Linked DNA regions of Stegostoma tigrinum. The protein of the gene in region 1 interacts with the protein of each later gene in a biochemical or structural test. Links are inferred from orthologs where the notes say so. Each region holds a gene or a part of one and is shown on either strand. Other genes may lie near its edges. The genes, in order: nbr1a and gabarapl2.

The links.
Region 2: the proteins of nbr1a (region 1) and gabarapl2 form a complex in vitro, tested with the Homo sapiens proteins (2 studies listed by IntAct). The link is inferred for Stegostoma tigrinum from reciprocal best matches to the Homo sapiens genes NBR1 and GABARAPL2.

Annotation. Positions count from the first base shown.
Region 1 is NC_081384.1:16,097,960-16,115,142, forward strand, and holds the start of nbr1a (NBR1 autophagy cargo receptor a), read left to right. Parts: upstream 1-6,965; 5' UTR 6,966-7,102; coding exon 7,103-7,204; intron 7,205-17,183. UniProt on the Homo sapiens protein: Ubiquitin-binding autophagy adapter that participates in different processes including host defense or intracellular homeostasis.
Region 2 is NC_081369.1:41,526,611-41,542,950, forward strand, and holds the start of gabarapl2 (gamma-aminobutyric acid receptor-associated protein-like 2), read left to right. Parts: upstream 1-7,647; 5' UTR 7,648-7,777; coding exon 7,778-7,811; intron 7,812-16,340. UniProt on the Homo sapiens protein: Ubiquitin-like modifier involved in intra-Golgi traffic. Modulates intra-Golgi transport through coupling between NSF activity and SNAREs activation. It first stimulates the ATPase activity of NSF which in turn stimulates the association with GOSR1.

The DNA.
Region 1 (17,183 bases):
CAGTGGCATCAGGTGAAATTTTAATGAAATTACCAAAGAAAACCAATATGAATTCAAAACTTATCACAGTGATAATTACCAAAAAACAAAAATCCATCCTTATAAAAACCCAACTGATTCAGAAATGCCCTTTGTAGGGAAGGAAACTAGCTATTCTAATTTGGGTTGTTTCCTAACTTGATTCCAGAGCTGCAGCGGTTGAAAGGTTAAGTAAGCCATTTGATTCAAGAGCAATTAGGGATGGGCAAAGAAATGCTGGCACTGTCAGCAATGTTCCCCTTGAAAGGTTTTTCACTGCACGTATCTCCAAGGTATCAACACACAGGTTAATGTGGATAGAGATGGCCAGCAGCTACACAGTAACAAAACTTAGAGGTGCAATTTGTCAGTGATGCTCGCATCCCATGGAAGAATGTGGAAGGAGATGTGGCGGGAGGTTCACAATAAAGTTAATTTTGGTTCAAAGCTTGGATTCTCACATGAAGGAATGATGTACTGCTTTAACTTTTTGAAAATTTATGTATTGATATGGGTGCTGCCGGCTGGGGTCTGTATTACTGTCCACCTCTGGTTGCCATTGGTGACAATGAGCCGTTTTCTCAAAGCATTGCAGTCCACATCAGGAACAGTGATACATTTCCAAGTCAGATGATGGGGCTTCCAAGTGTCTGCTGCTCTGCTCCTTCCAGTTGGTCGTGGTCATAACTTTGGAAGATGCTGAGCAGCCTTGGTGAATTTCTACAGTGCATCTTGTGGATCCCATACACTACTGCTACTGAGCATCATTGATAGACAGAATAAATGTTTGTGGATATGATGCTACAACTGCACCCATCCAAACAAGTGGGAAGCATTTACCACACTTCTGGCATATATCTTGCAGATGCTGCACAAGCTTGGAGTTTTTAGGTGGGGGGTTACTTCATCAACATACACAACGAGGAAGGGACATGGTTTTAAAGTTTCATTCTGGGTTTGTTCTGAAAGTGGCAGTGGGATGACTCAAGATTTGTTTTGTTATCAAGCATTTCGATGTGGTATTAAAATGCGAGGTGAATAGCTCAGTGCATTAGAAAAAAAAAAGAGAAAAATTGCCATTGCTAGCTACAGGAGTCTAGTAACAAAAACAGCCACCCAGAAGAAGCTAGGTTCTGAGAAGTTACATTATCTGGACTGGCATGACAAATGGGAGAGGAGGGTTGTATAAATACCTGATAGCCTGCATCATCCAGTTTCTACCCTGTTTGTCAGATAAGACATCTTATCTATACCACCTGAACAAAATAAAAGCACCTTCTTTAACTGTGTATTTTCCACTACCACTTTTGTGTAAGGAATGTTTTAGGTTATGTAGGAGGGTATAAAAACAGAAGTTGCTGAAAAAGCTCAGCAGGTCTGGCAGCGTCTGTGAAGAAAAATCAGTTAATTTTTCGGGTTCGGTGATGCTTCCTCAGAATAGGTCACCAGATCTGAAACATTAACTGATTTTACTTCACAGATGCTGCCAGGCCTGTTGAATTTTTGCAGTAACTTCTGCTTTTGTTGCTGGTTGACAGCATCTGCCTTTCTGTTTTTATCTAAGAGGATATCTTTCTTATGTCAACTTCTCAGTGAAAGTGACCAAGTTTCAATTGCTAGTTGACTGATGAAATTTGAGTTGGCACAGATTAAATTAAATGCAATTGAATGAAAAACAAAAAAGGTGGTTAGGCTAATTGGCCTATAATTTTCATCTTTTGTCTTGATCCTTTCTTAAGCAAGGGGGTTACAACAGCAATTTCCCAGACTCCAGTGACTTTTGAAAGATCACAACCAACACCTCCACTATTTCCTCAGCCACCTCCCTCAGAACTCGAGGATGTAGCCCATCGGGGCCAGGAGATTTATCAATTTTTAGACCTTTTAGCTTTTCTAGCACTTTCTCTTTTGTAATGCCCCCCCGACTCTCCTTAATTGTTGGGATTCTTTGGCTCATTCTTACTTAGAGTGCAGTGCATAGGCCACAAGCTGAAGAACAATAATCAAGGCCAACGTAGCATTCTACTCCAGCCTCAGTCTTGCCCTGTGTCTCAAAGAGAGAGATGATGATTCTCCTCAAATTCAGTGCTGCATTTGCGAGGAATAGGTGTTATTATCTGAGTGGATGATTTTGCTGGGCAAGTCAAATTCTAGATTAAAGTCTGGCTTGACTTTTTGTTTTAGTGCAATGCTGTTTCAGTTAAAGCAAAAACAGGCAAATGCTGCAGATTTATGTTTTTAACAATAAAGCAGAACTGTATTAGGCAAAAGAAAGTATAAAATAGAAGAAACCATCCATTTACATATAACAAAGATTTTGAAACGCATGATAAAATGTGACCCCATAAAGCCTGATGACATTTCTTTACAATATTCAAACAGCTGAGACAATGGCTTTCTTTTTCCCACTGAGGATTTGACCTAGCTATGATATCAATTCCCTGTCCTGGGTCTCAGTTTCTTCACACAACTAAGCTTAGACTTCTTCAGCTTCACATAATTCCTTGAAGATTTTAACCAAACACTTCTGGTCTGGAAACCTGGAAAATTACTCTTTATACTGAAACCAATTACAATTGTTAAATAGTGTTAACTCCTTTTTATAGGAGCAACTGATTTACACATCTAGCTTCATGCTAGACTTGTGCAAACCTGACAAACTGAAACCCGAAAACTTTAAGCTACAGATAGCATCCCTATCAAAAAAGAGGGGAGAAAAACCAAACAAATAAACAGACATTTGAACTGCTTAACATACACTGTTTACTTTGCTCCCAGTGATAAACTTCAATTAGATCACAAGAACTCTCTCTTGGCTACAGAAACACTTAAAAGCTCATCATTAAACTACAGATTTCAAAACCCCATATGCCAAACTAACATAAAAGGTACTGAAATACACAAATTACACAGTTTACATTACCACACACAAATCTCTTAAAAAGCAGGTGACTGGCAAAGAAGGCAACCGTCAATGAATTGCCCTCCTGATGGAATTGGCCAGGGCAGAATCTGGTTATAACAAGTATTTATTTTTGTCACAGAGATAAATTCAAGACCTCATGGCAGCACACTTGCCTTAGGAACAAAATTGAGCACATGCTATTACTCTTGAGGGACCATGAGGTGTTCACATCACTCGTGACATGCCAGGATCTGCAACTGCTGGACTAATCATTGGCTAATACAATTTGCTATCTCCATCAGCCTCACCCAAGAACTGCAGCAGTAACATAAGCCAATCAGATGATATTCCATGAATGGCGCAGTGGCTCAGTGCCAGGGACCCGGGTTTGATTCCAGCCTCAGGTGACTGTGCAGAGTCTGCACATTCTCCCTGTGTCTGCGTGGGTTTCCTCTGGGTGCTCCAGTGTCCTCCCACAGTCCAAAGAAGTGCAGGCTAGGCGGATTGGGCATGCTAAATCGCCCAGAGTGTCCAGGGATGTTTAGATTAGATGGGTTCGACAAGGGAAATGTAGGGGTAGGGGAATGTGTCTGGATGGGATGTTCTTCAGAGGGGCGGTGTGGGCTCATTGGACCGAATGGCCTGTTTCCATACTGTAGGGATTCTACAATCAATGAACAGGAACCACAAAAATGCCCACAGCTCTTGGTCTGCCCTTAAATCTGTCTTAAACAGCTCATGAATAAACTCTAGCTTTCCCCAGCACAAGACCAGTTTGATGAGAATGATCAGATCCAAGGAAGGTGTTCTTGAACTGGAATTATCTCTGAAACCCTGAAGGAAAGAAAGCAGGGGGTGGAAATAGTCAGAGATGTACAGCACAGAAACAAACCCTTTGGTCCAACTCATCCATGCCACCCAGATATCCTATGTAAATCTAGAAATTGCTAGAAAAGCTCAGCAGGTCTGGCAGCATCTGTGAAGGAAAAATCAGAGTTAACATTTCAGGTCCAGTGACCCTTTCTCAGAATTGAATTATTTAGCATAGTCACAACTATTTGTGACCCAAGCACATATGCTGAGAGCAAAGAACAGAGTGGTGCTCATAAGAAGCAGTGCACCATGAAACACCACAACTTGCAAGTTCCCACCACACACCATTCTGACTTGAGATTTCTTCGCTGTTACTAGGTGAAAATCCTGGAACATCCTTCCTGACAGGACTGTGGGTGTTCCTATACTTTCAAATGGCTAAGTTTGAAGCAAGCAGCTCACATCACCTTAAGGCAATAAAGAACTAGTGCTGCCCCAATCATGTGAATGTATGAAAAAAATCTTAGATTTCATCATTAGCTTTTTAAAATTAAAACTGGCTTTAACATTTTACGGTCAGTCATTATCACCGTTTCCATTTTTGTTTCAGGTCCTGATGCTGCCAATTTCAGCTCTCACGCATCCACTGTTTTTGACTTCTGATCTTGCTACCCTACCACCATCACTTTTTGTCTTGTATAATCATCCCTGTTAGTTCGTTTAGACACGATCATACATTCCCCTTCTTTCTCCCTCCCAGCTCATTATAAGCTGAAGTATCATCCTGAGCATTTTGGTTTTGCCTCATAGGGTGTCAATGGCAGACTTTCTCAGGGGCAGAGCAAGGAGATGGATCTCAAGATTACTCCAGTCTGAATCGGAATGAAACCTGAACAACTATTATTCCCTGTGTTTATTTAAAATTTTGTTATAGTATTGTAACCTCTTGATCCGAACAAAAAGTTCTTAACTTGAAACTTTAACTGTTTCTCCCTTTTCAAATGCTGTCTGACCTGCTGAGTCTTTCCAGGATTGTTGGAAATCTGAAATTAACATCGACAATGTTTTGTTTTTGCTCTTACTTCCACAGATTTGCAATCAGCTTTACACAATTCAACTTTTATTTCTCAAGGTCTCAGTCCTGTGGTAAAATGCAGGAACACACAAACTTGTTAACAGTACAACTATATATTAATCCATTGTGCCAAGTGTATATGATTTAAGCATTTCATTGACTATGGATTGAAGTTTTTTTTTCCATTCTAACACTGCCACCTTCTCACAAATAGCACCCATAGTTATAAAAAAAACTTAATTCCACTTGCTTTGACTTCAAAACCAGGGAATAAGAAACATACTCATTCTCAGTGTCTGTCCTTCCTATTACTAATTAATAGTGACAAAACACAAATTCAGCTATCATATTACTACTACTTTTTTGGCTCGTCATATTTCAAGTCCAATCACAAAGACAGCAGCACAAATAAATTAAGCTTTGGAATAACAAAGTGTGGAGCTGGATGAACACAGCAGACCAAGCAGCAGCTTAGGAGCACAAAAGCTGACGTTTCGGGCCGAGACCCTTCATCAGAAAACCTCTGATGAAGGGTCTAGGCCCAAAACGTCAACTTTTGTGCTCCTAAGCTGCAACTTGGTCTGTGTTCATCCAGCTCCACACTTTGCTACACTTGCCCCCACACCTCCTCCCTCACCCCTATCCCAGGCCCCAAGATGACATTCCACATTAAGCAGAGGTTCACCTGCACATCTGCCAATGTGGTATACTGCATCCACTGTACCCGGTGCGGCTTCCTCTACATTGGGGAAACCAAGCGGAGGCTTGGAGACCGCTTTGCAGAACACCTCCGCTCAGTTCGCAACAAACAACTGCACCTCCCAGTCGCAAACCATTTCCACTCCCCCTCCCATTCTCTAGATGACATGTCCATCATGGGCCTCCTGCACTGCCACAATGATGCCACCCGAAGGTTGCAGGAACAGCAACTCATATTCTGCCTGGGAACCCTGCAGCCATATGGTATCAATGTGGACTTCACCAGTTTCACAATCTCCCCTTCCCCTACTGCATCCCTAAAAACCAGCCCAGTTCGTCCCCTCCCCCCACTGCACCACACAACCAGCCCAGCTCTTCCCCCTCCCCCCGCAACCAATGCATCCCAAAACCAGTCCAACCTGTCTCTGCCTCCCTAAGCGGTTCTTCCTCGCACCCATCCCTTCCTCCCACCCCAAGCCGCACCCCCATCTACCTACTAACCTCATCCCTACTCCTTGACCTGTCCGTCTTCCCTGGACTGACCTATCCCCTCCCTACCTCCCCACCTATACTCTCTCCACCTATCTTCTTTACTCTCCATCTTCGGTCCGCCTCCCCCTCTCTCCCTATTTATTCCAGTTTCCTCTCCCCATCCCCCTCTCTGATGAAGGGTCTAGGCCCGAAACGTCAGCTTTTGATGCTGCTTGGCCTGCTGTGTTCATCCAGCCTCACAGTTTAATATCTTGGAATTCTCCAGCATCTGCAGTTCCCATTATCTCTGATATGGTGACTATCTTATGTTGAGAATCTGCCGAGCTCAGGCACCTCCTGTGCTTTCTGCATTATAACAGGAGTCACATTGTAAACCGATCACTCTAAAACGTTTCGGAAGGAACAGCAGATGTCAAAGGCGCTGTGGAATCGCAAGGTACGTTCTATTCATTCCCCGCTCCCCATTCATCCAGAATCCAGTCTTCCCAAAAAAACACACATACCGCTAGGGTCCGTTGCTACAAACACAGAAAATCACACGCATTTTAATCAGAGAAAGATAAAATACCGGACGAAATGAAAAGTTGAAGCAGCATGCGACAGTGATCTCAAGCACTACCCTCAGCTCGAAGCATCGCCATATTTTGGGTCTCCCGCGCTCACACATGTCACAGGACATGACACGCACCGGAATGACGGTGCACGCATAGGCGCACCGTTTGTATTAAAAAAATGACGTAAGACGACGCTGCAAGCTTTTAACTTATACCCGCCAGATTCTAGCTGCCAACTTATTGTTTTAGACGATCCTTCATCTGACGGTCCAACATCCAACATTTTATCCGGTCTCTGATTTGTTTTGACGAATAGTGTGTAATCCCCCGGCCAAAGGCGTTATGCATGACGTCACATCCTGTCAGATGACTGGTTAGCTGCCAATGGGCGACCGTGTTTACCCTGGGCCGCAGTGGATGCTGGGTAACTGCAGGGCTCTGATGTAAACAGAAGCCTCTGGTGCCGAGGGGGGGGGAAAGTAATTACTGTCACTGTCACTATCATTGTCATCGGGCGGACGCCAGCTTCTCACCCACCGTGGAGGTATGGAGGAGCAAATCAAACTGAACGTGACCTTTGGTGGCGATACACAAACTTTCCTGGTGTGTGACTCGCAGAAGACGACGTGGGCGGATCTGGAAGCTATGGTTAGTGATGTGTAGGGAGGGGGTGAACCCCGCCCTGAATCAACTCTACACCCGCTCCCACATCTACTTTTCAATTCCCCCTGTCTGCATCTCCTCTCTTCTCCTGTCAGCGCCGCCCCCCCACCCCACCGCAACTTGTCGTCTCTCCCCAGCCCTCGCATCTACTGTTCTCTGTCCCCGACCCAACATCTATTCTTCTCTCTCCCCTACCCCCGCTCTCCCCCGATATTGTCACTTCCCTCCCCCCGCTCTTGCATCTTCATTTCTCCCCACCCCCCCCACTCCCGCAACTTCTATCTCCCCCCCCCCCCCCAACCCCCTGGCATCTTCACTCCCCCGGCATCTTCGATCTTCACCCAAACCTTCGTCTACACTCCTCCGCTTAACCCCCCCCCCCACCCCGTCTACACTGTTTCACCCCCATCTGCGTAGTCTACACTCCTTCCCCACTCCACCCCACCCCACCCCATATACACTCTTTGCCCCCTCCCGTAGCAGACATAGGATGATGTGCTCAAACTATTATGTTACGTAAGAACTAGTAGCAGAGTAGACCTTTCGGCCCCTCGAGCCTGCCCCCCCATTCAATAAGATCAAGATCAGCTCCACTTACCTGCCAGCACACCATAACTCGTAATTTCCTTACTGTTCAAAAATTTATCTAGCCTTGCCTAAAACACATTCAGCGAGGTAGCTTCAACTGCTTCATTGGGCAGGGAATTTCACAGATTCACAACCCTTTGGGTGAAGAAGTTCTCCTGACCTCAGTCCTACATCTGCTTCCCTTTATTTTGAGGTGATGCCTTCTATTGCTAGTGGAAACAATCTCCCTGCCTCCACCTTATCTATTCCCTTCATAATCTTATGTGTTTCTATAGGATCACCCCTCATTCTTCTGAATTCGCATGAGTATAATTTCAGTCTACTCAGTCTCCCCTCATAAGCCAGCCTCTCAACTCTGGAATCAACCAAGTGAATCTCCTCTGCACCCCCCTCCAGTGCTAGTATATATCTTCTCAAGTAAGGAGACTAAAACTGCACATGGTACTCTAGGTGTGGCCTCATCAGGACCCTATACGGCTGCAGCATAGCCTCCCTGTTTTTAAACTCCACCCAAAATTCCACTTGCCTTTTGCACCTGCAATCCTACTTCTAGCGACTCATGCACAAGGACACCCAGGTCCCTCTGCACGACAGCATGCTGCAATTTTTTACCATTTACAACATTGTCCATTTTGCTATTATTGCTACCAAAATGGATGACCTCACACTTATCAACATTGCACTCCATCTGCCAGACCTTTGCCCACTCACTTAGACTATCTATATCCCTCTGTAGACTTTCAGTGTCTTCTGCACAGTTTGTTGTACCACTCATCTTAGTGTCATCTGCAAATATTGACACCCCACACTTAATCCTCAACTCCAAATCATCGATGTAACTTGTAAACAATTGTGGTCCCAATGCTGATCCCTGAGACACACCACTAGCCACTGACTGTCAACCAGAAAAACACCCATTTACCCCTACTCTTTGAGTTCTATTAGTCAACCAATCCTCTATCCATGCCATGTTGTTTTTTAGTATTTTGAATAAAATGTTCAGCAATGACTCCTTGCAATAGTGATTCTGTCCTTGCAGCTAGGTTTCCTGGTTTAAATAAACAGTTTGGTTAGCTGTAGTATTATATATGAAGAATGTGATAACAAATATAAATATTTACTTTATAGTGTGTTGCTGCCACCTTGGGTTCACATGAACTCTGTTTAGCTAGTTCAATTGGGCAAACCGTGATGTGACGTTACTATTGATCTAAGCAGAACAATTTCAGATTCAGAACTTATTTATAATGTGATGTACCCTGACTCATGATATTTATCTCAGTATGTCCTGATGTTTATGCTGCTTAACAGATATGCAGTTTAATTTTTTTTCTGGGTGGTGTTAAATTGAACCTGTAAACAGGATATCAGATCATGCTTGTAGCTTTAGAAGGTTCTGATTTGTAGACATCAGGTTGAAACTGTTTGACTGAGTCACGTAACATGTGATGATATCCCAAATACCTTGGCAGTGTACTTTTTCTGTCATGACTTCCTGTGTTAATGGATTCTGAAATTTTATACAAGACTGTCTTCTTTGTGTTAATCTTTTTTTATATGTAAGCATTCCCTCACCAAATCCAGTAAAATAATACTGGAAGGGTGACCCAAGTATAGCTAATAAGTGAAAGTACGTTACAGTGAAAGTATTGTTGCAATTGTATAGCGTCTTGGTGAGATCGCACCCAGACTATTGTGTGCAGTTTCAGTCTCCTTTTTCAAGGAAGGACGTTTTGGCTCCGTAGGGAGTGCAGTGATGGTTTAACCAAGCTGACTGCTGGGATGGCAGGACTGACATATGAAGAGAGACTGGATTGGTCAGACTATAGAAGAATGAAGGGGTATCTCCTAGAAACCTATAAAATTCTAACATGACTCAATAGGGTCTGCCCAGGAAGGATGTTCCTGAAGGCCAAGTATCACAGTCTTGGGATATGAAGTAGGCCATTTAGGAATGAGATGTGGGGAGGTTTCTACACTTAAAGACAGGTGAATCTCTGGAATTCTTTCCTACAGAAGGTGGTTCAGGTCAAAACATTGAATAATCATTTATGATTACATTGAATGGCAGAGCAGCCTCAAGGGCCAAGAGACCTCCTCGTATTTTCTACATCTCAAGGAAATGATTAGCTAAGACAAATTTGGTCCACTGCAGAGAGAGTCATGAATGGGAAATAGAAAAATGGCAGAGAAGTCAGATACCACGTAATAATTTATCTTCACCTAAGGAAAGCAATAAATCTCCCTGACTTAGAAATTCAAGGGAAAAGAAGAATGAAGAATTGAAGAAGATTTGTATTAGTGAGTAGACTGGAGAAATGAATTGCTTTGAAGGTTAAGTTCCTGGGTCCCAAAGTTCCACATTTCAGAATGTTGAAAGAGATAATTATTGCAAATATGGGTGCTCTGCTGGTCACGTTCCAAATTCTATAGGTTCTGGAATGGTTCCTTCAAATTGAAACACGGTCAATGTTACCCTGCTATCTGCGTTTTAGAAGGAAGGGAAAGAGAAAACTGGGAAATACAGACTTGTTAACCTTTAAATTTGTTATGAAGTATGTGATAAATGGACACTTGGATAATAATTTGTTTGGACATAAATAACGTAGATTTGTGAGGATATATTTGAAGAATGTTACAAGCAGAATCGTTGAAGGGCAGTCCGTGAATGTAGCATATTTGAATTTTCAGAATGTTTTTGATAAATTCTCTCACACAAGGCTGGTTAGCGAAATGGAAATACATGGTCATGTGCTGGTGTGGATCCAGAGTTGGACAACAGGCAAAAGACTGAAAGTAAGAATAAACAAGTTATTTCTGCATTGACAGGCAGTGCCTGGTACTGTATACAGCAAAAATCAGTGTTTGTTGCTGTAGTGGTTCACAATATGAAACACTGATTTGGATATGGGGGTAAATGAAGTATTTCCAAGTTTGCAGATGAACAAAAAGCTAGGTGGGAATGTGTGTTGTGAGGAAAATGCAAACTTATTTCAAGGCAGTTTGAGGCAGACTTGATGAGTGAGCAAGTACATGGCAGATTGAATATACGGTAAAAATCTGAGGCAATCCAGTTTAGTAGGACAAGCGGATGTGCAGTGTACTTCGTAAATGAAACCTGTTTATAAAGTATGGATGTGCAAAGTAACCCATTTGTCCTTCAATTTGATCAATGAGTCAAACTGATTCTCAAAGCTCAAAAAAAATTTAAAACTTGGAATAGATTCCTCAACTCTCTTATGCTGTGTATGGAGTTAACTCGGCATGTTTAGATTTGAGCTCCTTTTTTTCTAGTTTTTTTTCCTTCCTGCCGTAGTTGCTGTTCAGCCAGTGCTAAAGTTGCAGCTTTCATTTGGTCAAAATTTTTATTTTATTTCCCAACATTGTGCATGATTAAGCATTCTTAAGATAGTAATCTGAATGCTGTATGATATAAGATTACTTGGATCTGTAGAATTTTGTTCGCTGGGCTAGAATATTTGTAAAACTATTAACTGGTGCTGCTTCTGGAGTGAAATAGCCAATTGCTACGAGGAGCAAACAAAAGACAATAAGATGTGAGAAGAGGTAGGCCATTTAGCCCATCAGGTCTATTCCAGTATTCAACGAGACAGGAACAGCAGGAGGCCATTCTGCCCTTCAAACCTGTTCCACCATTCAGTGGAAGAGAGTTCCAAAAATCTGCCACCGTCTACTCAGCCTCTGGCTGAGAAATTCCCCCTCATCTCAGTCCTAAATTGTTGCCCTATGAATCTGAGGCCATCTTTGTCTCTCCAACTAATGAAAACATTGTTTCAATATCCAATCTATCCAGGCCTCTCAGTATTGTGTAAGTTTAAATGCAATCCTCCTTCAAGCTTCTAAACTCCAGAGTTGTTTTTATTCATTTATGAGATATGGGTGTTGCTGGAAGACCAGCATTTATTGGCCATCCCTATTTATCCTTGAGAAGTGGTGTAGCTGCCTTCTAAAACCACTGCAGTCCACCTGTGTAGGTTAACCCACAATTCCATTAGGAAGGGAATTCAAGGTTTTTTGACTCTGCAGCAGTGAAGGAACAGCAATATATTTCCAAATCAGAATGGTGAGTGGCTTGGAGGGGTACTTGTAGGTTGTATTGTTCCCATGTATTTGCTACCCTTGCCATTCCAGATACAAGTGGTTGTGGGTTTGGAAGGTGCTATCTAAGGATCTTTGGTGAATTTCTATTCTGCATCTTGTAGATAATACATAGTGCTGTCCAGAGCATCAATGGTGGAAGGAATGGATATTTGTGGATGTGGTGATAATCAAGTGGACTGCTATGTCCTGGATGATGTCAAACTTCTTGAGTATTGCTGAAGCTGTACCCACTCAGGCAAGTGGGGAGTATTCTGTTACACTCCTGACTTGTGTCTTGTAGATGATGGGCAGAGCACTGGGGAGTCAGGAGTTACCCGTTGCAGTATTCCCAGCCTCTGACCTTCTGTTGTAGCCTCTGTGTTTGTGTGGTGAGCTCTGCTGAGTTTCTGGTCAAAGTAACACCCAGGAAGTTAATGTGGGGGATCCAGTGATGGTAGCACAACTGAGAATCAAGGCACTTTGGTTAGATTGTCTCTTGTTGGAGATGGCCAATTCCTGGCAGTTGTGTGGTGTTACTTGCCACTTGTCTGCCCAAGCCTAGATATTGTCCAGATGTTGTTGTATTTGAACACGGACTACTTTAGTATCTAAGAAGTCGTGAATGTGCAGTCATTGGCGAATATTTCCATTTCTGATCTTTTATGATGGAGGGAAGCAGCTGAAGGTGTTTGGGTCTAGGACAGTACCCTGAGGAGCTCCTGCAGAGATGCCTGGAGATGAGATGACTGACCTTCCACAACCACAACCATTGTCCTGTGTGCCAGGTATGACTTCAGCCAGCAGAGAGATTGTCCTCTGATACCTGTTGATTCCAGTTTTGCTAGAGTTACTTGAGGCTGTACTTGGTCAAATGTGGCCTTGATATCAAGGGCTATCACCCTCACCTCTGGAATTCAGGTTCTTGTCCATGTTTGAACCACAGCTGTAATGAGGTCAGGAGATGAGTGGCCCTGGCAGAACCCAGATGGGCAGTGAGCAGATTATTGCAGAGCAGGTGCTGCTTGATTTCAGTGTTGAGGACACTGTCCTTCACTCTACTGATGAAGAATAGATTGATGGGGCAGTAGTTGACTAGGTTGGATTTGCCCTGTTTTGTGTACAGGACATACTGGACAAGTTTCAACATTGTCAGGTAGAAGCCAGTGTTTTAACAACTGAAAGAACTTCGTTAGGGAGTTGCACGTTCTAGAACACAGGTCTTCAGTACTATTGCTGTAATGTGATCAGGGCCCCCAGCCTTTTCTTGATAACAAAGAGTGAATTGAAATGGCAGAAGACTGGCATCTGTAATGTTTGGGATGACTGGATGAGGCCAAGGTGGATCATCCACTTGGCACTTGTGGCTGAAGATTGCTGTGAGTGCTTCAGCCTTATCTTTTGCACTGTTGTATGGAGCTCTTCCATCACTGACAAGAGGGAACCATCTTCGCTAGTGGATTGTTTACTTGCCCACCATCGTTCACAACTGAATATAGCAGGACTGTAGAACTTGGAAGCGATCTTTTTGTTGTGGGCTCGCTTAGCTCTGTCTGTCCTTGCTACTTGTGCTGTTTGGCATGCAGGTAATCCTGTATGGTAGCTTTACCAGGTTGATGTCTCATTTCTCAGTCTGCCTGGTGCTGTTCCTGGCATGCCCTCCTGCACTATCCATTGAACCAGGGTTAATCCTCTGATGTTTTGGTATTGGTTGAATAGTGATATGACATACCAAGAGGTTGCAGATTGTGCTGGAGTGCAATTTTGCTGCTGTTGAAGGCTCACAGTGCTTCACGGATGCCCAGCCTCAAGTTACTAGATCTGTTCGGTTTGTCCCATTTAGCATATTGATAGTACCACACGATACGATGAAGGATAATGTGAAGGCAGAGCCTCATCTTCAGGAGGATTGTGTGGTAGTCACTCTTACCAGTACTGTTTAAGACAGATGTACCTGCAGCCAGTGGTTTCCTCCCTGTGCTGGAGTACTGATTCATTGGCCAAGGGAGGATGGTATGTGGTAATCAGCGGGAGGTTTCCTTGTCTGTGTTTAACCTGAAGTCGTGAGACTTCTTGGAGTCCAGACTCTGTGTTGAGGACTCGCAGGCCAACTCCATGCAGACTGTATACCAACCAAGCTTCCACCTCTGCTGGGTCTGTTCTGCTGTTAGGACAGCATTTATCCAGAGATGGTGGGACACTGTCTGTAATACGAATGTGACTATGTCAGGCTATTGCTCAACTTTGGTACTAGCATTCCCCCCCCCCCCCCCAGCAGTTCAGTTGCATAATTCTTTGAAGTTTGTTTCACACATGGATAGGTATTTGGTACGCTTGTCTTCATTGCTGAGACTTTTCAGAATCGGGGTTGGGACATTTTGTTGAGGTTGTACAAGGCGTTGGTGAGGCCTCTTCTGGAGTACTGTGACCAGTTCTGGTCTTATTGTCAAAGGAAGGATATTATTAAGCTGGAGAGGGTTCAGAAGACATTTACCAGGACCTTGCTGGGAATGGAGCATTTGAGTTTTAAGGAGCGGCTGGATAGGCTGGGACATTTTTTCACTGGATTGTGGGAGATTAAAGCGGGGGGTGTGCACATAGAGGTTTATAAAATCAGGAGGGGTATAGATAATGTGAATGGCGGGTATCTTTTCTCGAGGGTAGGAAATTTCAAGACTTGGGTGCATATTTTTAAGGTGTGAGAAGAAATATTTCTTTAAAAACAAGTGATTTGTTTTTAGAGATAATGGGAACTGCAGATGCTGGAGATTCCAAGATAATAAAATGTGAGGCTGGATGAACACAGCAGGCCAAGCAGCATCTCGGGAGCACAAAAGCTGATGTTTCGGGCCTAGACCCTTCATCAGAGAGGGGGATGGGGGGAAGGAACTGGAATAAATAGGGAGAGAGGGGGAGGCGGACCGAAGATGGAGAGTAAAGAAGATAGGTGGAGAGGGTGTAGGTGGGGAGGTAGGAAGGGGATAGGTCAGTCCAGGGAAGACGGACAGGTCAAGGAGGTGGGATGAGGTTAGTAGGTAGCTGGGGGTGTGGCTTGGGGTGGGAGGAAGGGATGGGTGAGAGGAAGAACCGGTTAGGGAGGCAGAGACAGGTTGGACTGGTTTTGGGATGCAGTGGGTGGGGGGGAAGAGCTGGGCTGGTTGTGTGGTGCAGTGGGGGGAGGGGACGAACTGGGCTGGTTGAGGGATGCAGTAGGGGAAGGGGACATTTTGAAACTGGTGAAGTCCACATTGATACCATATGGCTGCAGGGTTCCCAGGCGGAATATGAGTTGCTGTTCCTGCAACCTTCTGGTGGCATCATTGTGGCAGTGCAGGAGGCCCATGATGGACATGTCATCAAGAGAATGGGAGGGGGAGTGGAAATGGTTTGCGACTGGGAGGTGCAGTTGTTTTTTGCGAACTGAGCGGAGGTGTTCTGCAAAGCGGTCCCCAAGCCTCCGTCCAGGGAAGACGGACAGGTCAAGGTTTGTTTTTATGATTTGTTTTTATGCATGTTTGGAATGAACTTTGCCGAGGAAGTTGTGGATTGGGTATTTTTACTATGTTTAAAAGACATTTGGATAAGTATATGAATAAGAGATGTTTGTAGGAATATGGGCCAGGTTAGGCAGGTCTAACTAGTTTAGTTTGGGATTGTGATTGGCATGGACTGGTTAGATCGAGCAATCTGTTTCTGTGCTGGATGAGTCTACAAGGGGTCTGAGGGTTTTGCACGGTCCTTTCTGCGATGTAAGTCAATGCCAGGTGGTCCATCATGTTTTGCATTTTTTTTTTGACACTTTGTAGTGATTGATGCACTAACTGCCTTGCTTGGCCATTTCAGAGGGCAGTTGAGAGTCGACCACATTCCTGTGGATATGGAGTCACATGTAGACCAGGCCAGGTGAGGGTGGAAGATATCTTTCCCCGAAGGACATTAGTGGTCCTCAATTGCTCCTCTTGTGACAAGCCCTTCATTCCCAGGATTATTCTTGTAAATCTCTTTTGGATCATCTCCAATGTGAGAACATCCTGCCTTAGAACATAGAACAGTATAGTTCAGGAACAGGTCCTTTAGCCTGTGATGTTTTGCCAAACACGATGCCTAAATAAACTAATCTCTTCTGCCTGCCCATTGGTCCATATCCTTCCATTCCTTGCATATTCATGTGCTTATCTAAAAGCCTCTTAAAAGCGCCTATCATATCTGCCACCTCCATCTCTAGCTAGAGTACCCTCTTATTTCATCTCCTCCCTTTTATTGCTTTTTTGTTATCCTCTATCGGTTTTTAAGGTTTTGCAATCCTCTAAGTTCCCTCTAATCTTCCCCACATTATATGCTTTTTCTTTTGCTTTTTGACATTTTCTAATCAACCTGTTCAGAGGTATTAATACACACCTCAGCAGCAGAAGGGACTTGAACCTGAGCCTCCTGGTCCACAGGTAAGGACACAACCACTGTGTCACCTGAGCGGCTGCTCCCTGACTTCCGTTGTCAACCATGGCTGCCTTGTCCTCCCCTTAGTATTCTTGCACTTCCATGGGATAGATTTCTGCTATGCCTCTTGAATTACTCCCTGGAATCCCTGCCATTGATATTCCACCATCTTCCCTGATAGGTTTCCCTTCCAGTCATCTCTGGCCAGCTCCTCCCCATGCATTTGAAGTTTAAACTGCAGGGTGAATTCCATCATTTTATGATCATCCCATCGTAAATGGTCACTGATCCCTAGCAGTTGTTTCACTTTCAGCTCCCCAACCATGACTGCATCATTACATCACCATATCCAGAATTGCCTGTAACTTTGTGGTGTCTGCCATACGCTGCTCCAAAAAAATACCTTGTGTACATTCCATGAATTCCCTTTCTTGGGATCAACTTCCAACTTGAACTTTCCAGTCCACCGACATGTTGAAATACCCAATGAATTTTGTAATAGTGCCTTTTTTGCATCCCTTTAGTATCTCCTGGTTTATTTTCTTCCACGCATCCTGACTCCTGCTTGGAGGCCTGTAGCTGACTGCCATCAGGGTCGTGTGGTTCCTCAATACTACCTGCACAGATTCCATGTCTTTTGCTTCAACATCACTTCTGTGCATCTGCCTGTCCTTTCAATAGGATGAGTATCCTTCGATGTTGAGTTCCCAGCCCTGATCCCCTTGCAACCAGGCCTCTGTAATTCTGACAATATCATACCCACCAATTTCAATTCAATGCCTTCATTCTTGCATTGATTCTTCCCTTCAGAGATAGTAGGAACTGCAGATGCTGGTGAAAC
Region 2 (16,340 bases), on another chromosome or scaffold:
GAGGCTGGTACAATTACAACATTTAGAGGGATATAGGCCAAATGCAGGCAAATGGGACCAGATTAATTTAGGATATCTGATCAGCATGGATGAGTTGGACCAAAGGGTCAGTTTCCAAACTGCAGCTCTATGACTCTGTACTTTTTCATTATAACAATCTAAATTGTGCTTGAATGCATCAACTGAACCAGCTCTTTACCATTGTGGCAGCTCACACAACTTTACCTCCAGTTACATGTAAAAGATTGTCTTCAAGTCACCACAAGTTGTCATTTCATCAATCACCAACAATCACAATTGTTCACTTACGGAATTCCATGTCGCTGTTTATTGGTCCTGTGAATTCTTGCATAGCTAATAAATCCAATCCTAGAACTTCCTGTTCTACCACACATTTGGTAGATGTTTTTAGGTGATGGAATTGGTCCTTGGCTTTGAGGTCACTGGCACTTCTTTCTTTAGTTAGTTTCCAGACTTCCTCCCGCTGATGGGTGTTCTCAAAGAATTGTGCCCATTCAAATAGGACCTTCCTCCAAGTCAGTTGCTTCTAAACAAAGGTCCTTCCATACATTGACATATATGATGTATTTCTTGGGGTAAGTCTTCAGGGAGCCTTTGAAATGCTTCCTTTGTCCTCTTCTTGCTCAAGTGCCTTCCTCAAACTGGGCAAAGATGATTTGCTCTGGCAGTCAAAGCTCAGGCATCTTAAGCGAGTGGCAGTCCAAAACAGATGGTTTTTGGATCATCGTGGTCTTGATGCTGGTGTTCTTGCTTCATGGATGCTGATGTTAGTTCACTTGTCCTCCCAGCTGATCAGAGAATCTATCTCAAACAGCATTGATAGTACTTCTCAAGGACCTTGAGTTGGTGTTTATACATTGTTGAAGTTTTGGAGCCAAGTAGAACAGTCAGAAGGATGACTGCATTATACAGAAGGGTTTTAGTATCAGCGCAGATGTCACGGTCATCCATGTCATTGATGTCAGCCATAGATGACAGCTATCTTCCCAGGTGGGGGAAATCTTCCACATTTGGGAGGATTTCTCTGTTGTTCTTAATGGATGGATGGACAAGAACTTGACTTGCGACAGGTGATAAAAGATTTGAGTTATCTTTAGGGTGAGGCTGAAACCAATTCTTCAGTAAGCTTCCGTGAAGGCATTAAGCAAGGATTGAAGATTGTCTTCTGAGAGACTGGAGATGACATTGTCAACCAGTTGAGTTGAAAGTTTTTCATCCACTTATAAACAATTTCCACACCACTGGGAACTTTACTTTTGACAAGATAAAGAATATCACCAGGGATATCAAAGGGACTGTCTTTAGCTAATTACTTGAAATATGTTCTCTCTGGTTCTCAAACTTCTTTTATAGTGCAATTTGATGGCGCATGGGGTTTAGGCTCAAGACAGGTTGGTCAAAGAGAAGGAAAAATCAAGAACTTGTCTTCAGGCTTAGATCTCAAAGCAACACAATTTATTATACTTTTAAATTACATATTGCTATATGTGGTAATCATTGATATACCAGGCTCTGATCTTAGGTAATGTCTAATCGTTTTTCCATCATAAACTCACGAAGATTGATAGCACAGGAAGAGGCCCTCTAAGTCTGCACCAGTCAAAAACAATCACCTATCCATCTTCTCTCCTACCTATCCCCCCGACTCATCTCACTGACCAATCCCCACCACTGCCTACCTACGCTCACCTACCACCATCCAACCTACCTCCCTCGTCTCACCCCTCCTCTCTGTTTATTTCCCAGCTCCCTTCCCCATCCTTATTTCTGAAGTAAGGTCCCAAACCAAAAACATTAACTTTCTTGCTCCTCTGATGCTGCCTGGCCTGCTGTATCCCTCCAGCTCATACTGTGTTGTCTGTGACTCCAGCATCTGCTGTTCTTGCTAACTCTCACCTAAATAATCTAATCCCATTGCCTTATATGCTTTGGTATCACAAGTGTACATCTAAACACTTCTTAAATGTTATGAGGGTTTCTGCTTCTATCACCCTCTAGATGAAAAAATGTTACCTCACATTCCCTGTAAACGGTTTGTCCCTTGCCTTAAATTGATGCCTCCAGTAAGGGAAACATGTTTTCCTTAATCTGTATTTTCCCAAATGACTATTATTTTTGCCTTTGATTATTATTCCTAAAAGCTTTACCACCACTGAGATTAAACTTACTGATCTGTAGTTATTGGGTTTATCTTTACAGCCTTTTTTGAACAAGTGTAGCATTTGGATGTGGGAATTAAATGTAATTTTGCTAATTCCAAAATGACACAAAAATGAGTTAGATGTGTGAGTTGTTAGAAGGTTGTAAAGATGCTTCAAGGGAATTCAGAGAGGCTGGGTTAGAAGGTAAAAGATTGGGAGATGAAATACAATGTAAAGGAGTATAACATCATCCAGATTCATGATTTAAACAGAAATACAGACTATTTCTGAAACAGTGAGAGGCTTAGATGTGTTGAACTTCAGCATCCTTGCTCACGAGACACTATAAATTGATGTGCAAATACAGGAAGCAACTAAGAAGAGGATTAATGATATCTTACTGCAATTATAAAGAGCCTTGGTGAGAACACACCTAGAGTATTGTACACAGTTTTGATCTCCTGATCAATAGTGAAATACACTTTTCACAGACAGTAACTTGCAGGTAATGATGTTCTCATGCATCAGTTGCCCTTATCCTTCTAGGTAGCGGAGGCCACAGGTTTGAAAGATTCTGCTGAAGGAGCTTGAAGAATTATTTCAGTGCATTTTGTAGTTGGTACACATTGCTGCATTGTATGAGAGTGGTTAAGGGAGTGAATGTTGAAGATAGTGGCGGTTGTGCCAGTCAGGCTTTTTGAGAGTTGTTGGAGTTGCACCCTCCAGGCAAGTGAAGACTATTCCATCACACTGCTGACTTGTGCTATGTAGATGATGGATAGGAATGGGAAGATTGAAAATGAATTACTTGCTCCAGAATCCTAATCTCTGACCTACGCATGTAGCCACAGCATGAATGTATCTGGTCCAGTTCGGTTTCTGGTGAACAGTAACCCCGTGGGTGTTGACAATGGGGGATTCAATAATGATAATGCCATAAGTTCAAGGGGTGATTGTAGGTATCATTCTTGTTGAAAACTGTCATCTCCTGATATTTGTGTGGCATGACTATTACTTGTGTTATAACTTTTGCTGATATTTTCATTATTTTGCTTTTGGTTTGGATTTGTGAACTGTAGGAGAGGTCAGTGACCTTTGGACTGCGATCAGCAGCTTATTTTAAAAATAAAGAGAACAAACAAACTACTATTTGTTTCTGAGCCAGTGCTGAAGGTTAATTGCAGGTTGTTTCTTGTTAAAAGGTGCTCTATAAATGTTTTGACTCTGGAGAGGCCTTATACTCAGGTAAATGGCAGATACTGAGTTTTTACTGGGACTTCATACTCAAACAACCTGTCTAACAAAGAAAGGCCAGAGTTTGAACTTTATTTTGAACTGTGTTTAAGTCAGAAGAAGGTTACAGATAGAGAGATTTTATTATTATGAAGTATAGTTGCAATTAAAATGAAGGAAACAGCAGCCAGTAGTGCACGGCAAATATTCTAAAATCAGCAGTGTCGTGATGACCAGGTTTTTTTTTGGTGACATTGAGGGCTGACTATCAGTCAGATCACATGTTGAACTCCTTTTCTTTACATATTGCCATGGGATCTTTTATGCTGAACTGAGAGGTCAGATGGGGTATAAGTTTTTACGTTGTGTGGAAAAATGGCTTGCCAACTTACAGTTAACTTGATGGAATGTGAATTTGCAGCCTTCAGACTCTGACAATAATGCAACCAACAGAGTCAAAGCTGATATCTTATGATGAAGTCAACAGCATTTTTCCCCTTGAGAGCTAGTGGAAATGAGGGATATCCTTCCACCTAACTGCAATTTTCAAGTTTGAGATCCGTAGCTTTTATTCAATATTGAAATTCAATGGAAAGACAATTTGTTGTAAATGCACACACCAGCCGTTTGCTCCCTTTGTTGTTTTGACAAATTTGGATGACTGAACAAAATTAATTGTAACATCTGAAGGATGATCTTTAATTTTTAGCAATAATGATCAGTACTCCAAATTATAATTATCATGACAACCTAAATTCAGATTAACCAGAATATTTCAAAACTCTTGCTGTCCCATTGCTGACAGTTTGATGCATGCTTCTACTTGACATCTGAGTTCAGAATCTCAAAATTTTTGTTGCAAAGTTTGTCTGATTAGCTGAATATGCAGAAATTAAAAGTGACAATAATGAAGAAAATTTTCCATCTAAGTTGAATGAAAATAAATGCATGTTTCAGATAGGATTTTTGAAATGTAAGTCACAAAAGACCTTTGTGGATAGAGGATGGAGAGAATTTATTAAAGGTTTGAGTAGTCATTTGGTAGAACAGAACATGAGTATTACTGAAAAATTACACCTTGAAGCTTTTTATTTTGCAGTCAGGACTTTTGCAAGAATACCAGTGTAAAGGGAGACAATATTTTATATTGTTTAAAAAGACAGAATATGAATTAGTTAGCAAGTGGACTTTACAGATATTGCCAAGAAGAAAACACCATTTAGAAAATGGTAAATTTTTTAAAAAATTTAAATAAAGTAGGTTGACTCTGGCCAAGGCATTGCACTGAGGAATGAACCACAGAATAGTTGTTGCCTATTTTGTTGCATTGAAACAAATACAATGTATGTATATGTTCTTTCTGAATGCAAAAACAGGATCCCTGAGTATTAATATATTTTGCTTTCCGTGTGCACAAGTGTGCTACACTGCAAGGTTGACTTGTGATCATTAATTGGTTGACAGTGTAATTCTTAGCACTATGAGGATTATTTAGCAAATGCTGTGCAATGGCAAAATCACATTTAATGTTGGACATTGTTGCGAGTTTTACTAGTGTGTGCTGATTAGGTGCAGTTGTACTTGGCCTGTTGTGAACACCCAAAGGGACCTGTTTGAATTCTATGTACTACCAACATACCTAGCATCATACTGACATTGAAATTCATGCACTTTGTTATTCATTTTGATAGGCAGAACTTTTTTTTGACTTGATGGCAGCATCTGGTAAGTGGTAAATGTCATTACCGCACAGGAGCAGTGTGAAATATCAAACTTAATTTGATGCTCAATTTTTTGAGATTTCCAGAGTAATCTCAGGGAAGTTTTCAGACCAAAAACTATGGCCTTACGTATGTTCATGATTTTACATAATATACAGAAAGAAATGATCAGATTGGTGGCAATTAGCTTGCAAGATGATTTTGATGTATCTTCTTTCAGTAGGATATTTGCATGGTAAGAAAATGACTGGAGGCCCTAATTACCTTGTTGCCTGTTATACCAATCTTACAGCATGTAGCAGTTGTCTTTTCCCTCGGATAGGGATTTCAAGACAAGGGGGCACGTTTTTAATGTGAGAGGAGAGAGATTTAAAAAAGACATGAGGGTAAATTTTTAACAGAGATAGTGATTTGCGCGTGGAATGAACTTCCTGAGTTTGTGGGTACAATTACGATATTTAAAAGACATTTGGATAAGTACACGAATAGGAAAGGTTTGGAGACATATAGGCCAGGAGCAGGCAGGTGGGACTAGTTTAGTTTGGGATCATTTTCAACATGGAGTGATTGGACTGAAGGGTCTGTTTCTATGCTGTGTGATTCTATTCTATGTTCCCCAGTTGTCCTCTCATTATCAACCTATAAGAACAGAATCTTAGTTATAAGAATTAAATCAATATTCCTCAGAGCCTGCTCAAAGATATGTGTATACATTGGTATCATGAGGCATTAAGCAAGATATAATCCTATGTGCCAAGGATGGTACGAATTGTGCAGCCCACTTAAGTGATTTGGCCAATTACATCTCAACTGATTATTTTTCTTTTGATTTGTCCCTTAACCATGTCTGTCAGTCTTTGTGTGAAAATGAGAGCTAGATTTAAGGAGGATTGAGTTTAAATCAGTCATTAATTAGATTACCTTTTGGTTTAACTTTGTTCTGTTAAAATAACTGTATTGTTAATTAATTGTTAAATCTTTTGTTTCTGCTACAAACCTTGGGTCTGTCATTAGTTATCTAAATATGGTAGTGGTTATTCAAAAAGACTGATTCGGAAACACTGGGATCAATTTTGAGTGTCATTGATTATTTTAATTTTTCTGTGTTGCAAATACAAGGATAAAGAGGCTGATTTGATTTGGTTGTCTGTCTCCATGTCATGATACTTGCCACTTATCAGGCCAAGCCTCCAGGTTGTCAAGGTCTTGCGGCATGTAGACCTTGGCTGCTTCACAATCTGATGAGTTGTGAATGGTGTTGAACATCTTGCTGCTGATCGCACACATCCTCAATTTTGACCTTATAACGGAAGGAAGGTCATCAATGAAGTAGCTGAAGGTGGCTGAGTCAAGAAAACTACTCAGTGAACTGCTGCCTTGATGAACTTCTGAACAGTGTATAAATTCGGCCTGCTTCTCAGTTGTATTCTCCATTTTTAATTTCGATCTCTTTCCCCTTACCTCTGATTTTCCTTCTGTTTTGTTGTCACTGAGCCTCACACTCCACATCCATGATTTTTTTTGCCTTTGTCACTTTAAGATGACCATATTTGAGATTGCAGTTTTGAAGTTTGATTCCTTAATTCCCTTACAATTAAAGTTAAATGTCTTTGCACAAGCTGTCAGCAAAAAAAATTGACCCATCACCCATGTGGTCATTTACTTATATTGACTCTCAGTTATAAAATACCTAGATATAAAACTCTCATAATTATTTTCCAATTCTTCCACAACCTGCCTTTACTTTATTGCCACAATCCCTTCCAATCGTACAATTCTTTGAGATATCTGTACACTTCTAATTCCAATCCCCAGTTTCAATCACTTTGCTAATAAAGATCTTGCCTTCAGTTGCCTGGAGCCTAAACACAGAATTCCCTATAGCCTCTCCACCTCTCATCCTTATATTCCTCCTTTAAGTTATATCTTAAAAGCCATCACTTTGAACACGTTTTTGGGCATCTGTCATGATATTTCCTCACATGACAATTTATTTATAATGCCTCTGCGAAATATCTTGGGATGTTTTGGCTTTACAAAATTACAAGTTCATTGTTAATCTTACCCTGTTTGGCTAATACACAACTCCAAGTGATTGAGATTTAATTGTCTTGAGTATTGGCCTAGGAGGGCACTCATACGAAGAAGATGGACTACTGGGATTCAAGAATTTCACCACTCACTCAGAGCAAAAGGTACCTTGACAGTTGTGTTGCTTACATTCAATCGTTCAATCTGGAACCCATATTAGAAAAGAATAAAAAACATAGAAAACGTATCAAAAATGTTTCCTTTTTAAAATGATAAATGATGTAATTTAATGGTTGAATTGACCTTTCAGAACAAACCATAGCATTATAAGGGATACATCAAAGTTTTGAATTTATTCGTATGGAACAAAAATGGATCATTTCGAATTGCTATTCAATGCTACAAACCGGAAACAAATACTGTAATCAACACGCTGTGTTCTGGCTGTCAGAAATCTTTTGGTCTTCTCGCTTGAATCATTGTCTGTCTATCCTTCCCCGCCTTTCACTAGCGAGTAGTTGCGACCGACAGGACATTCCCTGAGCTTCATATCGCGCAGTGCTAGAGAGTCACGTTGTAGCAGCGTTTTGTTTCTTTTCAGTCAATAGATACTTTCATATAGCGGGCAACATGAAATGGATGTTTAAAGAAGACCATTCATTAGGTGAGTTTGGTTTGGAGACGCATTTACAGGAACCCAGTTTTTGTCGGGCTGTCTTAATCATCTTCAGGGCCTAGTCCTGACCTGCGCAGTTTTCCTCGTTGGCCTGCTGTTTGTTTTGTTTTAGGGTGTGTAAATTGTTGCGTCTATTTGAGGTTTTCAGAATTAGATAATGATTAACTCAACACTCGAATATTACATCCAGCGTGTCAACATCATCAATGCTCCAGTAAAACCTATTTTGCATGTGGTTTTTAGATTTAGATATCACAATACTGTTTCCATACTAGGGAATCTAATCTAATCTAATCTAATTATTTATTTATCCATAGGAAACTGAACCGGCTTGCTTAACCCTCACCTTTTTTAATGTTAACAGTCTTTACGTTAAACCTTTCATCAACTTTGAACTTCATATAATAATTTTCATCACGTAACGTTGTAGAAGTGAAGTACCATTTAAGAAGAGTAATTGTTTGCCTTGCAGAGTTGTCATTTGGAAATAGCAGTTTGGTACACAAAATGCACCCTAATACATAATGAATTAATCTGGTTTTAGCAGTTTTGTTTAATTGGGTTTTGGTAGATGTTGAGATATTGCATGCAGAACAATTTTTATTACTCTCTCGAGCAGGAACCTCTATATTCACCTTGGCTCTTTGTTTAAACTCAGTTTCAATTTAAGGTCCTTTGGACCCTGAGTTGAATTTGCATTTCAAAGCCTACCCTTTGTCAAAATTACAACAGCAACCTTTATTTATAGGCATTTTTAACAAATTTGAATATTTCCAGGCATTTCATAGAATCATAATGAAACAAAATATTGTATTGAGGTACATAGATGATGTTACGCCAGACACAAAGCTTGGCCAATGTAATCTGTAGGAGTATTTTATGGGAGGAAAACAAGGTAGACAGGCAGAAGGCTGCAGAAAGTGTATTTAAGAACTTTGGGCCTATGCTGAAGGTATGGCTACGAGTGGTCGAGCAATTAAGAACTTGGATTTGTAAGAAGCTAGAATGAAATGAGCACAGATATGGAGTGATAGAGGTGTACAGCATGGAAACACTCTTCAGTCCAACTTGACTATGCTGACCAGATATTCTCGATAAATCTAGTTCCATTTGGCCCATATCCTTCTAAACCCTTCCTAATCATATATCCATCCAGATGCCTTTTTTAAATGTTGTAATTGTACCAGCTTCCTCCACTTCCTGTGGTAGCTCATTCTATACAGACACCACCGTCTATATGAAAAACCTGTGTCTTAGGTCCCTTTTAAATTCTTTCCTCTCACCTTAAACCTATGCCCTCTAATGTTGGACTTCACCACCTCAGGGAAAAGACCTGTCTATTTACCCTATACATGCCCCTCAAGATTTTATAAACCTCTATAAGGTGACCCCTCAGCCTCTGACACTCAGGAAAATAGCCCCACCCTATTCAGCAACTCCCTATACCTCAAACCCTCCAACTCTGGCAATGTACTTGTAAATCTTTTCCGAACCCTGGATTATTGAGGGTAAAATATGTGAAATTTGCTAGATTGCATTTAAATAGTCCACTCTGAATTGTTAATATTGCTAATACTATATTCAATGTTCTGTCCAAGTAAATCACGACAGTAATTAACTTCTGTAACACTTAACATCTTAATCCCTTTCCCCATCTTCACTGCCATTGAAGTTCCCATTCAAGTGCTCCAGACTCCCCTTCTCTAACAGTTCCTTTGTTAAATACCAAATCTATTCCACTACCTGAACCATACACACATTGTGTTCCAATGAGAAGCCATATCATTAACATTAAATTTGTTTTGCCTTCTACAGATGGTGCCAGATATACTGAATGTTTAAAGCATTTTCTGTTCTTATTTCAGATTTCCAACTTCCATATTAAATACTCCACTCATTCCTTAGCTGCCTTTCACTGGCTCCCCGTTCCCAACAAATTGAATTAAAGCTTCTGATGCTCATTTACAAGTTTCTCAGTCATCAGTGTAACACCATTGGTTACAAAGCAAGGATGAGGGATAACGGAAATGATAGACTGCTTAATGTGACATTAATGTCAGGGAAAAAAAACTGCAGTGTACTATTATTTATGATCAGACCAAATCGAATGTTGTTTTATGAAAGAGAATGTTTTAGTTTTTGGAATGTAACTGCTAGGGTAAATAGAAGGGATTCAGTAGATGTAGTATACTTGGATTTCTAAAAGGAATTCAACCAGGTACTGCATAGATGTTTAATACTCCAGCTGCACTCATGGAGTTGGTAGCAACATAGATGCAAGATTGTTTCCCATCTGTTAACCAAAGTGATATCCGGGGCTTTTTCACGTTAGCAGGGTGCAAATAGTGGAGTAGTACAAGGGTCAGTGCTGAGGTTTTGACTATTTTCAATCCATATTAGCGACTTAGAAAAAGACGCTTTGTATCTGTGAGAATGTAAACTGAAAAGAGGAACCAAAGAGGTATGGACAATTTAAGTGAGTAAGCAATAAACTAAGTGTGAACAAAGGAAGAGGTTATTCATACTAATAGCAACAACAAACACAGAACATTTTAAAAGTGTAAAACTTTTAAATATTGATGTTAAGAGAAAAATGGTATAGTGCACAAAATTAATCTATAGGTAAAGCAAGCAATTAGGAACAAGAGTGGACCATTCAATCCTTCAAGCCTGCCTCACCGTTCAACACTAACATGGTTAATACATTACTTTAATGGTTTTTACTCAACCCATCCCTGTATCCCGGTATGCTACTGGTAATTAAAACCTATCAATCTCCATCTTCAGAATATTCATTCTCCTCATCTTAGACCTAAGTAGTATCTACCTTATTTTTAAAATGTGGCCTCTGGGTCTAGACTCCCCAACCAGGGAAAACATCTTACCTGCATCTACCCCTTCAAGTATTTTGCAATGTTCAATGAGATCACCTCTCCTTCTTTGACACTCTAGAGAATACAAGCTCAGTTCACTTACTCCCTCTTCAAAGGACAGTGCTATCATCCCAACTATCAAGTCTGGTGAGTCTTCATTGCAGTCCCTTTGTGGCTGTAACATCATTCCTCAGAGGCAAAGACAGAACACTCTCTAAGGGGCTCTAACCAAGGTCCTGTGCAATTGAAGCAAGACTTCACTGTTCCTAGCCTCTCATCCTCTTGCAATAAAGGCTGAAATTCCATTAGCCCTCGTAATACCTTGCTTCACCTGTATGTTAGCCTTCAGTAACTTGTGAACGTGGGACTTTCTGAACATTCACCATACTGAATCTTTTACAGAAATACTTGTTTTACATTTTCTCCACACCTCCTATTCCTGCCTTGTCATATCCACAAATTTGGAAATATTACATTTTGGTCCCTACCTACAACCGTTGATAACGTTGTGAACAGCTGTGACCTCAGGTACTGATCCTTATAGTACCCCACTAGGTCATAGCCTGCCAATTTGAGAATAACCCATTTATTCCTACTGTCTATTTTCTGTCAGCCAATCATTAATTCTTACTAGTATGTTTACTTCCTATCCCATGTACTTTAACTTTTCAAACCGGCCTCTTTATTAAAAGTCTTCTAAAAATCTAAATATACTATGCCCATCAGGTCTCTTTTATCAATTTTGTTTGTAATATATTCAGAAAAACTCCCAAGTTCATCAAATGCCATTCCTCATTTGCAAATTCAAGTTGACTGTGCTGAACCAAATCGTAATCAACCATATGTCTATCTTTCCCATCCTTTATAATTGCTTCTGGTGTTTTCCGTACTAATGAAGTAATTCTAACTGATCTGTTGTTCCTCATTTCTATCTCATTCCCTTCTTAAATAGTGGGAGGTGACATTTGTTGCCTTTATATCTGCAGGATTAATTGCAGAATCCGTAGAATTTTGGAAAAATCACCAATGCATTTCTCTGTAATCACTTCCACTCTGGGATGAAGACCATCAAGTCCGGCGGACTTATCACTTTAACCCAATTAATATCTCAAGTACGGCCTTCTTACTAACGTTGATTTCCTTCAATTCCTCATTCTCTTTAGGATTAGGAAAGCAATTTGTTATAGCAGGAGGATTAGAGCACAAAAATAAGGAAATCTTGCAACAATTGTCAAGGACTTTGGTGTAATCAGTGTGCAGTTTCTGCATCCATATTCAAGGAAGAATTATGCTTGCCTCAAAGGGGATACAGTAAAGTTTGAATACATTGGTTCCTGAATGAGGGTATTGTTTATGATGACAGGCTGAATAAATTGGACTTGTAATCTCTGGAGCTTCATGGTCTCAGAATAATGGCTGGATCATCCAGAACTAAGACAAGAAATTTCTTCACTTCTGAGATTGTGAAATTTTGGAATTATTTTCCCAGCACGTTTTGGATGCTCTGTTATTGAGTATATTCAAAACCTGAGAGATAAAGTCTATTAGTTTCTTAGAGATTTGGGGAGTGGCCAGGAACGTGAAGTTGAGATAGAACATTAGCTATGATCACATTGAACCTTGGAGCTGACTTTAGAAGCCACAGGATCTACTAGTGCTTTTGTTCTCACCTTTTTCCCTTTAGTGTAATCTCCTCTACTGGTTTAATCTGAATATACAGCACTGATTTACCTGCATGTCACTGTGGTGATAGAGTTTTCAATATCTTGATTCTTGGCTTTTCCACACCCTCACTAAATCTGTCTCCCTTCCTTTTCTCCCCACATTTAAAATCCTCTATAAAATCTATGACCATTCCTCTAATCAATCCGCAAAGTCTTCAACTATTGCTTGATGATCATTTTCTTTCTATCCATAAAACCATGGATTGTGTACTAAATTTTAAGGCACAATATAAACACAATTTGTCCTTTCTTCTTGTCACGTTTTATTGAACTTGGAATTATTGATGACTATTTTTTATACTAATGCTAACAGTTGTTTTTCAGCGTGATAATCAGTGGTCATACATTTTAATGTGATATTAAGATATTTAGAGACTATGCTGCGATTGATATGTCAGAAAGTGGAAATCTATGATATATGTTAAATACCTATCAAAAAATTTCAACAGTAATTTTCAGCCATAACCTTATTGTAGATCACAAAGTACCTCTCCATTTCACTGATTTGCCACAAAGTTTTAGGGGATCTACCAGAAAATGGCTGCTTGGATTATTTCGTCCTTTTTTGTTTTTGTTCTTTCATGAGATGTTGGTGTCACCTAATGAGGCTAATATTCATTCCCATCCCCAATTGCCCTTGCTTGCTCGACCATTTCAGTGGGTTAAGAATCAGCCATATTGCTGTGAGTCTGGAGTCACATATAAGCTAGACAAAGAAAGAATGGCAGGTTTCCTTCCCTGACAATCACTTCTGTTTTCACACTGATTACAGAGACCAATTGTTGTGGTGAACCTATTCTTCCGGACATTAACTGAGCCTCTGGATAATGAACCCAATGGTTTGACCGCTACATACTCTCTCTCTCCTATCATCCAATGAATTGAAGATGGCAAATACAGACTTACATCTAGGACTGGGAGTGCTGCATGTTGTCATTTTTCTTTATCCTTTGTACCATAACTATTCATCAGTGAGCAGATCTAAGCTGAAATTATCTGAATTTAGACTTCTCCCCTTCAAATGAAATCTGAAACTAAATCAGTGGCTCATTTCAGCAATAGAAGAGAATAAGTCAAATTATGGACATAAATCATCCATTGTTATCTCTTTTTATAATGGTGTTTTATAGAGTCATAGAGACATACAGCATGGAAACAGACCCTTCGGTCCAACTCATCTATGCTGACCAGATATCCCAAATAAATCTAGTTTCATTTGCCAGCATTTGACCCATATCCCTCTAAACCCTTCCTATTCATATACCCATCCAGGTGCCTTTTAAATGTTGTCATTGTAACAACCTCCCACCACTACTTCTGGCATCTCATTCTATACACGCACCACACTCTGCCTGAAAAAGTTGCCTCTTAGGACCCTTTTAGATCTTTCCTCTCTCATCCTAAACCTATGCCCTCTAACTTTGGAACCCATGTCATTCCTTATTTTAGGCATCCTGAAAAGTTTTTTTTTTCTCCTCACACTTGTATCTTTGCCTTTTCATTCTCAAACCTTTTAACATGCAGGAACAGTTTCTCCATATCAACTCTCTGCAGGCATCTCATAAATTTGAGAACTTCCATTAAACATTTTCTCACTTTCTCCACAAGAAACAGTCCCAACTTCTCTGTTCTATTTTGCTAGTTGAAGTGTCTCACTCTATGAAACATGTGTCATAAATTTCTTCTGCGCTCTTTCCAATGCGTTCACATTTTTCCACTATTCTGGTGCTCAGAACTGTATATGATAATCCACCTGTGGTTTAATCTGTGCTTATGTACGTTCATTTTCACTTGCCTCCTATATTCCATTCCTCTATTAACAAAGCTTAGAATTCTGTATCAGTGATAATGGGAACTGCAGACGCTGGAGAATCCAAGATAATAAAGAGTGAAGCTGGATGAACACAGCAGGCCAAGCAGCAGCTCAGGAGCACAAAATCTGATGTTTCGGGCCTAGACCCTTCATCTCTGAAGGGTCTAGGCCCGAAACGTCAGCTTTTGTGCTCCTGAGATGCTGCTTGGCCTGCTGTGTTCATCCAGCTTCACACTTTATTATCTCAGAATTCTGTATGTTTTATTTACAGTTCGCCCCACCAATCCTACCACATTTTAATAGCGTACACCCAAGTTATAGGACGTAGAACATTACAGCACAGTACAGGCCCTTCGGCCTTCGATGTTGTGCCGACCTGCCATACCAATCTGAAGCCCATCTAACCTACACTATTCCATGTACATCCATATGCTTGTCCAATGACGACTTAAATGTACTTAAAGTTGGTGAATCTACTACTGTTGCAGGCAAAGCGTTCCATTCCCTTACTACTCTCTGAGTAAAGAAACTACCTCTGACATCTGTCCTATATCTTTCACCCCTTAATTTAAAGCTATGCCCCCTCGTGCTCGCCATCACCATCCTAGGAAAAAGGCTCGCCCTATCCACCCTCTCTAACCCTCTGATTATCTTACGTCTCAATTAAGTCACCTCTCAACCTTCTTCTCTCTAACCAAAACAGCCTCAAGTCGCTCAGCCTTTCCTCGCAAGACCTTCCCTCCATATCAGGCAACATCCTAGTAAATCTCCTCTGCACCCTTTCCAATGCTTCCACATCCTTCTTATAATGCGGTGACCAGAACTGTACGCAATACTCCAAGTACGGTCGCACCAGAGTTTTGTACAGCTGCAGCATTAGCTCATGGTTCTGGAACTCGATCCCTCTATTAATTAAAGCTAAAGCACTGTATCCCTTCCTAACAACCCTGTCAACCTGAGTGGCAACTTTCAAGGATCTGTGTACATGGACACCGAGATCTCTCTGCTCATCTACACTACCAAGAATCTTACCATTAGCCCAGTACTTTGCATTCCAGTTACTCCTACCAAAGTGCATCACCTCACACTTGTCCGCATTAAGCTCCATTTGCCACCTCTCAGCCCAGCTCTGCAGCTTATCTATGTCTCTCTGTAACCTACAACATCCTTCTTCACTATCGACAACTCCACCGATCTTGGTGTCGCCTGCAAATTTACTAACCCATCTTTCTACGCCCTCATCCAGGTCGTTTATAAAAATGACAAACAGCAGTGGACCCAACACCGATCCCTGCAGTACACCACTAGTAACTGGTTTTCAGGATGAACATTTCCCATCAACCACCACCCTCTGCCTTCTTTCAGCAAGCCAATTTCTGATCCAAACTGCTATATCTCCCACAATCCCATTCCTCCGCATTTCCCACAATAGCCTATTGTGGGGAACCTTATCGAACACCTTGCTGAAATCCATATGCACCACTTCAACTGGTTTACTCTCATCTACCTGTTTGGTCACCTTCTCAAAGAACTCAATAAGGTTTGTGAGGCACGACCTTTCCTTCACAAAACCATACTGACTATCCCTCATCAAATTATTCTTTTCTAGATGATTATAAATCCTATCTCTTATAACCTTTTCCAACACTTTACCAACAACTGAGGTAAGACTCACTGGTCTATAATTACCAGGGTTGTCTCTACTCCCCTTCTTGAACAGGGGAACCACATTTGCTATCCTCCAGTCATCTGGCACTATTCCTGTAGACAATGACAAGTTAAAGATCAATGCCAAAGGCTTGGCAATCTCCTCTTGACCAGAGATTCCACTTTATTCGATAACCACACTTTACAACTTCCCGCGCTTTACAACTTCCTCCCTGCTTGACAGGTACGTACTTATCTAGGACACACAGGAACTTTTCCTTGAATAAGCTCCACATTTCTAATGTGCCCATCCCCTGCAGTTTCCTTCCCCATCCTATGCTCCCTAAATCTTGCTTAATCTGATCGTAATTGCCTTTCCCCCAGCTATAACTCTTGCCCAGTGGTATACACCTATCCCTTTCCATCACTAAAGTAAACATAACAGTATTGTGATTGCTAT